Linked DNA regions of Arabidopsis thaliana. The protein of the gene in region 2 interacts with the protein of the main gene of each other region in a pairwise test. Each region holds a gene or a part of one and is shown on either strand. Other genes may lie near its edges.

Region 1 (4,134 bases), on a different chromosome or scaffold from region 2:
GTTTTTAAAACCGGTTTGTTGGGGAGTTTCAGATTTATGTGACGGCGATGAAAGTTGTGGGGAAGACCGGAAAAGAGAGAGATGCTGTGGTTGAAGCGACGAGAGATTTGTTGATGTTTTTGGAGAAAGAGCTTGTTGGGAAAGATTTTCTCGGTGGGAAAAGTTTAGGGTTTGTGGATATTGTGGCGACTTTGGTGGCGTTTTGGCTGATGAGAACGGAGGAGATCGTCGGGGTAAAGGTGGTTCCGGTGGAGAAGTTCCCGGAGATACATAGATGGGTTAAGAATTTGTTGGGTAATGATGTTATCAAGAAATGTATTCCTCCTGAAGATGAGCATCTTAAGTACATTAGAGCTCGTATGGAGAAACTCAATATCAAATCTGCTTGATAAGGTTTTATAAAAATTCTAATGCTCACAGTATGTCTCTTTTGTTCTTGTCTCAGTTGCTATGTTCTGTCACTTAATGTTTGCTATATTGAAACACGAAAATTTGAACTTTCTTTCTTGTTCTACCTAAAGATGTTCTTAAGCAAATAATACAGAAGAAACTCTCTTTTGTGCTACTCTGATTCAACCTGAACAGTTGCATGATAAATCCCATAAGACTTCCTACAGAAATTTCTAACACCAGTAATGATCTCTTTAGGACTAGCTCCAGGCTCTGGTAAGATATGACAGGACAATACGATTCTCCCTACTGTTATCTCCCATACATGGAGATCATAAACAATCTTAACTCCATCGATTCGCTTAAGTCCTCTTTCGAGCTTCTCTATGTCCATATCACGCGGTACGCGTTCCATCAGTATTCCAAATATGTTCTTGAGAATTGGTAGAGTAGCAGCAAGAGCAAAAGCAGAGAAAACAAGAGTGCAAATCAAATCAACCAAAACCCATTTTGGTTTTACCCAAATGATACCTCCACCAATCATAACACCTAGTGACTGAATCATATCAGCCATTGCGTGAAGATAAGCTCCTTGTATGTTAATGTTCATCTCCTTTGAAGACGATTTCTCACCTTTTAAAGGATTCATTTCCTCCTCCTCCTCTTCTGCCACCACCTCCTTGTGATGATGTTGATGTTGATGTTTATGATTATGATGATGGTGATGATGGTCGTGGTGGTGGTGGCTATGGTTATGTCCTAACCAAAGGACCATAACCAAGTTCATGAAAAACCCGAAAGCCGAAATCCCAAACATGATTTCTCCATTAACCTCTCTGCTTCTGCTAAGTAGTCTTTGAATGGCTTCATGGATTATCACTCCAGAGACAAGCCATATGAGCTGAACAGACAAGAACGCCGCTAAAACTTCAAGCCGTTTAAACCCGAACGAGTTTCGCGGATTAGCTTCCCAGCTCGAGACCTTGATCGCCAACAAAGAGACACACAAACCCGCCACATCCGACAACAAATGCGCAGCATCTGTCATAACCGCAAGACTATTCGCCTTAAAACCTCCCACAATCTGTACGGACATAACGATGAGGTAAAGAAAAATAAGGCTGCTTAGTCTTCTAGTCGATTCTTCGCGTTCTTTCGTCTCGGAAACGCAATGTTCTTGTCTCGTAAACGCGCAAGACAGAGGAACCACGCCTAAATTTTCCTCTGTTTTCGATGGTGATGGTGACTCCATTTCTTCCTCATCATCGGGTTTCAAAATGCAGATTTGCTCCAATTCCATAAGCTGTTTATACGTTACACAAACTTTCATTAGAGATCTAAATCAACATTTGATCCTCTTTCTTTAAGTATTTTTATGATTAAAAGATTCAAATAAACCCATTTTGTGTTTCTTTTAAGACAAGAAACAAACCTGAGAATCAGATGGAGAGGCAAAACGTATATGAATTCCAGAGCTGTCCTCTTCAGAAATCTTGAGTTTTATCTTATGGTTAGAGATATGAAGACATGAACACAGGCAATTAAGGATGATCCAGCAAATATGGGAGGAGATGTTTTATAGATGTGGAATTTTCTTTTTTGTATGGGAATCTAAAATAAGTCGTTGTGGCTTGTGACGGGTGAAGAAGAATAATCTTTTTTCTTTAATAAGGAGAATCAAGGAAAAAAGAAATAAATATAAAGATTTTGTTTTGGTGATTTTGTGTTTCTTTTGGTGTGTATGAGATTTGTATGATTGTATTACCATACAAAGGTGGCGTTTGCGTTTCAGGTGAACAAAATGGACTGACTATTCTTTGTTCAAAATAAGGATTGATTCAACTAATGTTCTTTGATCTTTAGCATGTTGTTTTTTTCGTCTTTTTGTTTTCTTTCATTATAGAAATCAATTATAAACATACATCAATATTATTTTAAATTAGGTTAGGACCGTTAGGTGATGTAATTTGTCCATGTTGATATAGTTTATTTTTTTCTTTTGATAAAAATGTTGTTGATATATTAACTTGTTTTATCAAACTACATAGTTATTAGTTAGCACTTAGCATGTAATTAAGAATGTGAATTGGTGATTTTTAACAAAAGAATGGTATTTGCATACACGCATATGCATGTTAATTTGACACATCAACCAGATGGTGATTATATTAGATTAGGTATTACCGATCAAACACTAAATCTTGGTTGTTTTGTAGTTTCATGGTAACAAATAGATTGTTGTTTTGTAGTTTTTGATGGCAACACTAAGTTTTCAGTAACTAATTTGCTAATTCAAACTTTTTGGCGTTTTAATTTATTAGTCGCTAATTAAGAATTTAAGAATTAAGATTGATCTAATCTACCACTTAATTACGGAAAACGAATATCATACTAACATAGTAACATTTGATTGTTATAATTGGTCACTGATCATTACCGATGACTGCTAAACAAACAACAAAACATATTGTTGATCACTATCCCCCATCATTACTACTGAATAGTGAATACTATATTACTATCGCCAATCGTTATTACTGATCGCGTAGAGAGGCTAGAAGAACTAGTTTTCTACCGTTTGGAAATTTGTATAAAGGAATCTTCTAGAAAGATAGCCCATTTACAGGCCCAATAAAACGTGTACATACCCATTAGGTTGATTTCACTCAGGTCTCGTAAATAAATTAAATAAATAAAAAATGAACCAATCAATATTGACTAATCTCAGAGCACACACCAGTCTTCGGGTCTCTCCTCCTCGCGGCTCGAAACGCAAGCTTCACGCTTGAAAATCTCCGTTCGTTTTCTACCTCGTTTAGATCGGAGATGGCGGAGAAGCCGGCGCAAGAGCAAGAGCAGAAGCGAGCGATGGAACCTGCAGTTCTCGACGATATTATTCGTCGTTTGGTTGAGTTTCGGAACACGAGACCTGGATCGGGGAAGCAAGTTCATCTCAGTGAAGGTGAAATTCGTCAGCTTTGTGCTGTCTCCAAAGAAATATTTCTTCAACAGCCCAATCTGCTTGAATTGGAAGCTCCCATCAAGATCTGCGGTCAGATTTTTGTTCCCTTTAGTTTAGAAAGAGTGCTTTTTTGGATTGGGGTTTTAGTTTTGATTGATTTTTAGAAGCGAATTTAGTGCATGTTTAGATAAAGTATCAAGCTTTGTTCAGTAGTAATGAGTTGAATTCTTAAAGCTATGTACATATCTAAGTGACTGAAGAAAAAATGTGAGATTTTGATTGTCTTTTGAGTTCAGAACAATGAAATCAAGCTAATGGGTAGTATAAAGTTTGAATTTTTATTACTAAAAGTCTTAGATAGGCTTAGGAGTTTTGACTGGTTCTATGAGGTTTGATTCATTTTATCTTAATGTTGACTAGTCAAGTTATGTGTTTTGATTGGGTCTGATAAAACATTTCCTGCAAAAGTTTAACGTTGACTAGTAGTATCTGATATGCCATGTTTTCTTAGATGTAATGGTTATATTTTGTCTTTTACTTTATAGGTGATATTCATGGGCAGTATTCAGATCTATTGAGGCTTTTTGAGTATGGAGGGTTCCCTCCCGAAGCTAATTATTTGTTCTTGGGTGATTATGTTGACCGTGGCAAGCAAAGCTTGGAAACAATATGTCTTCTTCTAGCTTACAAAATCAAGTACCCTGAGAACTTCTTCTTGTTGAGAGGGAATCATGAATCTGCTTCCATTAATCGTATTTACGGTTTCTATGATGAGTGCAAAC
Region 2 (7,184 bases):
TTGATTATGTCAAGTGATAACTTCATTGAAAAATTCTAGTGTAGGGTAACTGGAAGAGAATATAGATTCTTCACCAATCAGGTGCAATCGCCATATTACTAACGTAATTGTACAAAAATATACAATTACATCAATGTCAATAGTTTAGTGTACATTAACATATTCTCAATCAGTCGTTACTGAAGTCAAATTTTATAATGAGTTGTTGTTGTATAATGGGACTCTCTACCTAGAACAGTTCGCTGTACTTATACTGTAGCCACTGAAAATTACTTTTTTCTCTAATCGACCCATTTTTCTGATTTTTTCGACCATGAATAATAAACCACTTTTCTTTCCGATTTACACAAATACAAAAGCTATGGAGCAAAATGTGTTGTTTCTTTTTCATTATTATTGCTATAGACTGTTTCATACACAAGTTCCAGTACAACTTAAAACACCATGATTTCACAGACAATTTCACTCTGCCGACCTTATTTGGGCGTGTGAGTCGTCAATGTCAAAGCTATAGTGTCTTTATAAATTGAGGATGTATTCTTTTCTTTCTTTTTTTTGTCAACAAAATTATTAGGATTAGCAATCTTATTTTCTACAAAGAGATACAACAAGTGTATTTGACATAACTCTTATGACATATCTGATCAACATGCAAAATATGACTTTGAGCTGCAATTTAAGGTACAATAGTCTAGCTAGATTCATGAATCTTCTCTATAAATCTTTTTTTTTCTTTTTTTTTTTAATGTTCTATCTTTGAGCTGTAATGTAAAAAAAGATGGGTGAGACCAAACTTGCTATGTTTTGAACTAACTGTTCCTCAAAATTTGGAGGACCACTTGTTTGGCACTTTTGGCTTGCCTTCATGAAAAGTCCAAATCTATTTCATAGAAAGGGAAATGAAATAACGATCGCCTCGTGATTTTCAGTTTTTTTTTTTTTTTTTTTTTTTTTTTTGTAATCAGTATTCTTGTGAATTCTCCCACTATCTAAACTTTTAAAAAGTAATATGATTGACGTAGTTTCTCTTAAAAAATTTAAATAAGTTTTTTTCCATTGGATATGTGTCTTGGACTAATATTTCGACCATTAGGTAGGTCAGAAAATATGGATTTCGAGTCTATAACTTTTGGTGACCTTTTTATCGCGTCAATCGGATTTGAGAGATCCTTAAGATAATATGCACAAAAGTAACTAACGCTCCAAAACATCTAATAGAAAACCGTGTGATCATTATATTAATCTTAAACCACAAACATACATAATTACTTAACCATGAAATGGTCGAAATAAAGTGTGATTACAAAATTTATAGCATCTTCGAGGCAGTCCACTGCTTTAGATCCTTTATTTCTACAATTTCAGATGTCTCTTTGCCACAATCTAACTCTTAATTTTTTCATACTGTATATGATAGTCATAGCTATTATCAACAGTTTTATTTCAAACTTGACGAACAATCTAAACTAGATAAAAAGTTAGGAAAGTCGTAAATACCAAGCAGAATTGAGATACCACTTCTTGGAAAAATCAACAGCTCTATTTAATGAAAATATTGCCAACTTATATCGAAATACTTTGGAATATATGAGAAGTCATAGATACGTGTCAATTTGGTTGCACTTGTAAAACCCATCCACGCCGACGCAGCATTTGTCAACGCCCATCTCTCGCGTCCCACGTTTGACTCACATGATTCCTGCTTCGGTGATAAGCCACTCTTATTTTAGTTTGCAATTTCCGTCTGTGAGACGAGTTGTTTCTTTTTTTCTTCTCAATACTAAATTTATGTTATTAGTTTTGCTTGAAATAAAACTGATAAGAATGAGTTATAGCAACCACAAATTGTTTTTGAGTAGATTTTTACTTTCTATACTTTATTGTAAACATGAACAATTCAAAGACATAGATGGTTTCTAATTATAGCACCCAAAATCTAATGGTTTTTAAATTTTCTACTAAAAAAACAAATATCATAAGAAAAAAAAAAAAAACCAAATACTTCCACTCAAGGTCTAGTCACACGTGAGATGCACCAAAATTACAAGTAACAACATAATTACTTTTTTGAATCTTCAAACCAATACATTTATAATTTTTGCCTATAAATTTCTTCACATATCTTCTTCATACTTGAACTATATCACATGTTCCAAATATAGACGAGAACAAAACAAAAAAAAAAAGTCGTCGATAAGAGAGTCCTTTGAAATCCCCAAAATGCCCTTCAACATAACCTCCGTGAAAACCTCATCTAACGGAGTATGGCAAGGCGACAATCCTTTAAACTTCGCTTTTCCGTTACTCATCGTCCAAACGGCGTTAATCATCGCCGTCAGTCGCTTCCTCGCCGTCTTATTCAAACCTCTCCGTCAACCCAAAGTCATCGCCGAGATTGTCGTACGTTAAAAATTACACTCTAACCCCACACACACTAACTATTTACAATTTTACCATAATAATCTTCTTAATTTACAATTCTGCCATCGTCTTCTTCTTCAGGGAGGGATTTTGTTAGGACCATCGGCTTTAGGTAGAAACATGGCGTACATGGACCGTATATTTCCGAAATGGAGTATGCCGATACTCGAATCCGTCGCGAGCATAGGACTTCTCTTCTTCCTCTTCCTCGTCGGTCTAGAACTCGATTTATCATCGATCCGACGAAGCGGCAAACGCGCTTTCGGAATCGCAGTCGCTGGAATTACACTACCGTTTATCGCCGGCGTCGGAGTCGCGTTTGTGATCCGTAACACTCTCTACACCGCCGCGGATAAACCAGGTTACGCCGAGTTTCTCGTTTTCATGGGAGTCGCACTCTCGATCACAGCTTTTCCGGTACTTGCGCGTATTTTAGCAGAGCTCAAGCTTTTAACGACTCAGATAGGAGAAACCGCGATGGCTGCAGCCGCTTTTAACGATGTAGCCGCGTGGATTTTACTCGCTTTAGCGGTTGCGTTAGCGGGTAATGGCGGTGAGGGAGGTGGAGAGAAAAAGAGTCCGTTAGTGTCGTTGTGGGTTTTGTTATCGGGCGCTGGGTTTGTGGTTTTTATGTTGGTTGTGATCCGACCCGGAATGAAATGGGTCGCGAAACGTGGATCTCCTGAAAACGACGTCGTACGCGAGTCTTACGTGTGTTTGACGTTAGCCGGTGTTATGGTTTCCGGTTTCGCGACGGATTTAATTGGGATTCATTCGATTTTTGGAGCGTTTGTTTTCGGTTTGACTATACCGAAAGATGGAGAGTTTGGTCAGCGATTGATTGAACGAATTGAGGATTTTGTTTCCGGTTTACTCTTACCGCTTTATTTCGCTACGAGTGGTTTGAAGACTGACGTGGCTAAGATTAGAGGAGCTGAGTCGTGGGGGATGTTGGGTCTTGTTGTTGTTACGGCTTGTGCCGGGAAGATAGTCGGAACTTTTGTTGTGGCGGTGATGGTTAAAGTTCCGGCGAGAGAGGCGTTGACACTTGGTTTCTTGATGAATACTAAAGGTTTAGTGGAGCTCATTGTACTCAACATAGGCAAGGAGAAAAAGGTTAGTTTTGTCTTCCTTTTTTCTGATTTTTTAAGGTTCTTGTTTACGCTTTTAGTTATCTGATGAATATTATAAATATAAAAAACCTAGTAACACTAAAGTTATTTGATCATGTTTAGTGGATAAAGCATATAAAACAAAATACGATTATTATATTGATTTAATCGCATCTATACCTTTATTTTAGGGTGTTTAGATATATTTAAAAATTTAGGTTCTAGTTGGATCCATGTGTATATGCGTCCGGTCCGCTCAATATTGGTAGGCTGGTCGGGGATCCGGAATAGTAAAATTGCTTATGTTTTATTTGAACATTAACCAACCGTTGTATAAATTCAAATTGATAGCTAGGCAGGCCCGGCTCTAGGGGAGTGCCAGAGGTGCTAGTACACAGGGTCCTCATTTTTTTTTCTTAATTTTAAGTCTTCTAGTTTGCAGTTTTTTTTTTTTTAAGGGGAAAACTACAAAAAAAACAACCACCAAAATAAAAGATAATAAGTTTAAAATAAAAATACAGTAAACACATGTCACATAAAGTTATTTTGTTTAGATTTAAGGGCTATTTTTGTTTGTAGCACAGGGCCCAATAAAATATTGAGCCGGGCTGCTAGGTTTACTATCACTATAATAGACACGGTTGCAATTTGATAGCTAGGTTTGCTCTCAACCGTTGTATAGTAATATTAGTCACCATAATACAAATCTGCAGTTCATTAATCATAGACTGATGGACACGGTTGCAATTTGATAGCTAAGTTTACTATGTGCATCGAAGATGATGCAGTTAGCAATGGTAGCTTCAAAACATTAGTCCGTGATTCTTTTGTCACCTCCGAAATAAACATTTTTATCTTAAATATATGTGCAAGATTATACTATAATGCTTCTGGAAATATGTAGTATATAAAATTTTTTGTTTAAACGTGTCTTCCCAACAAAGATTATAGTTATATACTACACTTTTATTATAAAGGCGTTTCTTATTGTTTTGGGGTAATAAAGAAAAACTGATCAATTAAGGACTAGTCATATATATGCATGCATGAAAACTTTATTTTTATTTTTTTTTCTGCATGAAAACTTTATACGAATATACCTTTTCGAATGGGCCAATGTTTACGTAATCGTCACTTACTGATCCACTTGCAGATTTATGATCTTCTTCATAATGCAACAATAAAGTGAAATAATGATTACCCATTAATGTAGTAAGTGTGGTTATTTTTAATTAAACTGTTTGTACGCGGGGTTGACTTTAACCAGGTACTAAACGACGAGACGTTTGCAATACTAGTGCTAATGGCACTCTTCACAACGTTCATAACGACGCCTACTGTAATGGCCATTTACAAGCCGGCACGTGGCACCCACCGCAAACTAAAAGACTTGTCGGCGAGCCAAGACTCCACCAAGGAAGAGCTTCGCATCCTAGCCTGCCTCCACGGCCCAGCCAATGTCTCCTCCCTCATCTCTCTCGTCGAGTCCATCCGAACCACCAAGGTAAATTACCTTTCTTTTATATTTTTACGTTACAATAATCTATATTTAAATTTGTAAATCTATGATAAGAGTTATATCAGAAAATTAAGATATCATTGAAATGCTCAATGAAAATGTATCCTACGTATAATTACACACATTTTGTATAGTTAAAATTAAAAATCAGCTGGGTAATAATTTATAATCTTGGTTAATAATTTAAAAAGTCGTATTTGTTTTGGCAGATACTACGGCTAAAGCTGTTTGTGATGCATCTGATGGAACTAACGGAACGGTCTTCGTCAATCATAATGGTGCAAAGAGCCCGTAAAAACGGACTTCCTTTCGTTCACCGTTACCGTCATGGTGAGCGTCACAGCAACGTCATAGGAGGCTTCGAAGCCTATCGTCAACTAGGCCGGGTCGCAGTCCGGCCCATCACCGCAGTCTCTCCATTACCCACAATGCACGAAGACATTTGCCACATGGCAGATACCAAGAGGGTCACAATGATCATTTTACCTTTCCACAAACGATGGAACGCTGATCATGGTCATAGCCACCACCACCAAGACGGAGGAGGAGATGGAAACGTACCGGAAAACGTTGGTCATGGTTGGCGATTGGTTAACCAAAGGGTTTTGAAGAATGCGCCGTGTTCGGTGGCGGTTCTTGTAGACCGTGGACTTGGGTCCATTGAGGCCCAAACTTTGAGCTTAGATGGGTCGAATGTGGTTGAAAGGGTTTGTGTGATTTTCTTTGGTGGGCCTGATGACCGTGAGTCTATAGAGCTCGGCGGGAGAATGGCTGAGCATCCGGCCGTTAAAGTTACCGTTATTAGGTTTTTGGTAAGAGAAACGTTGAGGAGTACCGCCGTCACTTTACGACCGGCACCGTCTAAAGGCAAGGAGAAGAACTATGCCTTTTTAACAACCAACGTGGATCCAGAAAAAGAAAAGGTAAATCTCTTTTGATCCCCTATGTTTATATACCAGTTATGACAAATATAACTATAGCTTTCTTTCTTGGAAAAATAATTATAGGAATTAGACGAAGGGGCATTGGAAGACTTCAAGAGCAAATGGAAAGAAATGGTGGAGTACAAAGAAAAGGAACCAAACAACATCATTGAAGAAATACTGTCAATAGGACAGAGTAAAGACTTTGATCTAATAGTGGTTGGAAGAGGGAGGATACCGTCGGCCGAGGTGGCGGCATTAGCTGAGCGTCAAGCTGAACATCCTGAGTTAGGTCCTATCGGAGACGTGCTCGCCTCTTCGATCAACCACATCATTCCATCAATCCTTGTGGTTCAACAACACAACAAAGCTCATGTAGAGGATATTACGGTTTCCAAAATTGTTAGTGAGTCTTCTCTAAGTATTAACGGAGACACAAATGTATGATAACAATAAATAAATTGATCTAGTACTTAAACTTCGGCTTAATGCATGGTTAAAGTGGTTAGTTGAAGATGTAGTTTATCTACAATATATAGATAGCTCTTGAGTAAGAATTGTAAGATCGTCTACATATAAATAACCATGATTGGGCATCTTGGGCATCGTCTACATATAATTTCATATTTGGACTAAATAGTAAATACAATTATCATTTGGGCCATTTGAGAAACTACCGGAAACCTCTCACGTGCCAGAGACACGTACCAAAAAAAACCCCGAACATTTATTAGGAAGAAGAGAAAAAACGGAAAAGAAAAAAAAACGCATCAATCTGAGCAGCACAAGTCTGCGAGATTTGGATTAGATCTGATTCAGGTTGGATTGATCATCGTTCGGAGCTCCGGGAAACATGGCGGCGACGAGACAATTACGAACTCTCCAATCTCAGCCTGAAAACAAGGTATGTGTCGATTGCGCTCAGAAGAATCCTCAATGGGCGTCGGTTTCGTACGGAATCTTCATGTGTTTGGAATGCTCCGGGAAACACCGAGGCTTAGGCGTTCACATATCCTTCGTCAGATCCGTAACCATGGATTCATGGTCTGCGATCCAGATTAAGAAAATGGAAGCTGGTGGTAACGAACGGCTCAACAAATTCTTCGCGCAATACGGAATCGCTAAGGAGACAGATATTATCTCCAAGTACAATTCGAACGCTGCTTCTGTGTATCGTGACCGGATCCAAGCTTTAGCTGAAGGTAGACC

The links.
Region 1: the proteins of CHX20 (region 2) and MTPB1 interact in a protein complementation assay, tested with the Arabidopsis thaliana proteins (one large-scale study listed by BioGRID).

What each region holds. Positions count from the first base shown.
Region 1 is NC_003071.7:12,614,366-12,618,499, reverse strand, and holds MTPB1 (metal tolerance protein B1), read right to left. Parts: upstream 2,123-4,134; 5' UTR 1,823-2,122; intron 1,694-1,822; 5' UTR 1,691-1,693; coding exon 563-1,690; 3' UTR 513-562; downstream 1-512. Other genes in the region: GSTU7 (glutathione S-transferase tau 7), read left to right, coding at 33-389; TOPP1 (type one protein phosphatase 1), read left to right, coding at 3,217-3,442, 3,898-4,134. UniProt on the Arabidopsis thaliana protein: Involved in sequestration of excess zinc in the cytoplasm into vacuoles to maintain zinc homeostasis.
Region 2 is NC_003074.8:19,905,064-19,912,247, reverse strand, and holds CHX20 (cation/H+ exchanger 20), read left to right. Parts: upstream 1-2,021; 5' UTR 2,022-2,220; coding exon 2,221-2,400; exon of another isoform or gene 2,401-2,502; coding exon 2,503-3,537; intron 3,538-4,800; coding exon 4,801-5,037; intron 5,038-5,261; coding exon 5,262-5,975; intron 5,976-6,059; coding exon 6,060-6,422; 3' UTR 6,423-6,657; downstream 6,658-7,184. Other genes in the region: AGD6 (ARF-GAP domain 6), read left to right, coding at 6,829-7,184. UniProt on the Arabidopsis thaliana protein: Operates as a K(+)/H(+) antiporter that maintains K(+) homeostasis in guard cells and could regulate pH. Plays a critical role in osmoregulation through the control of stomates opening.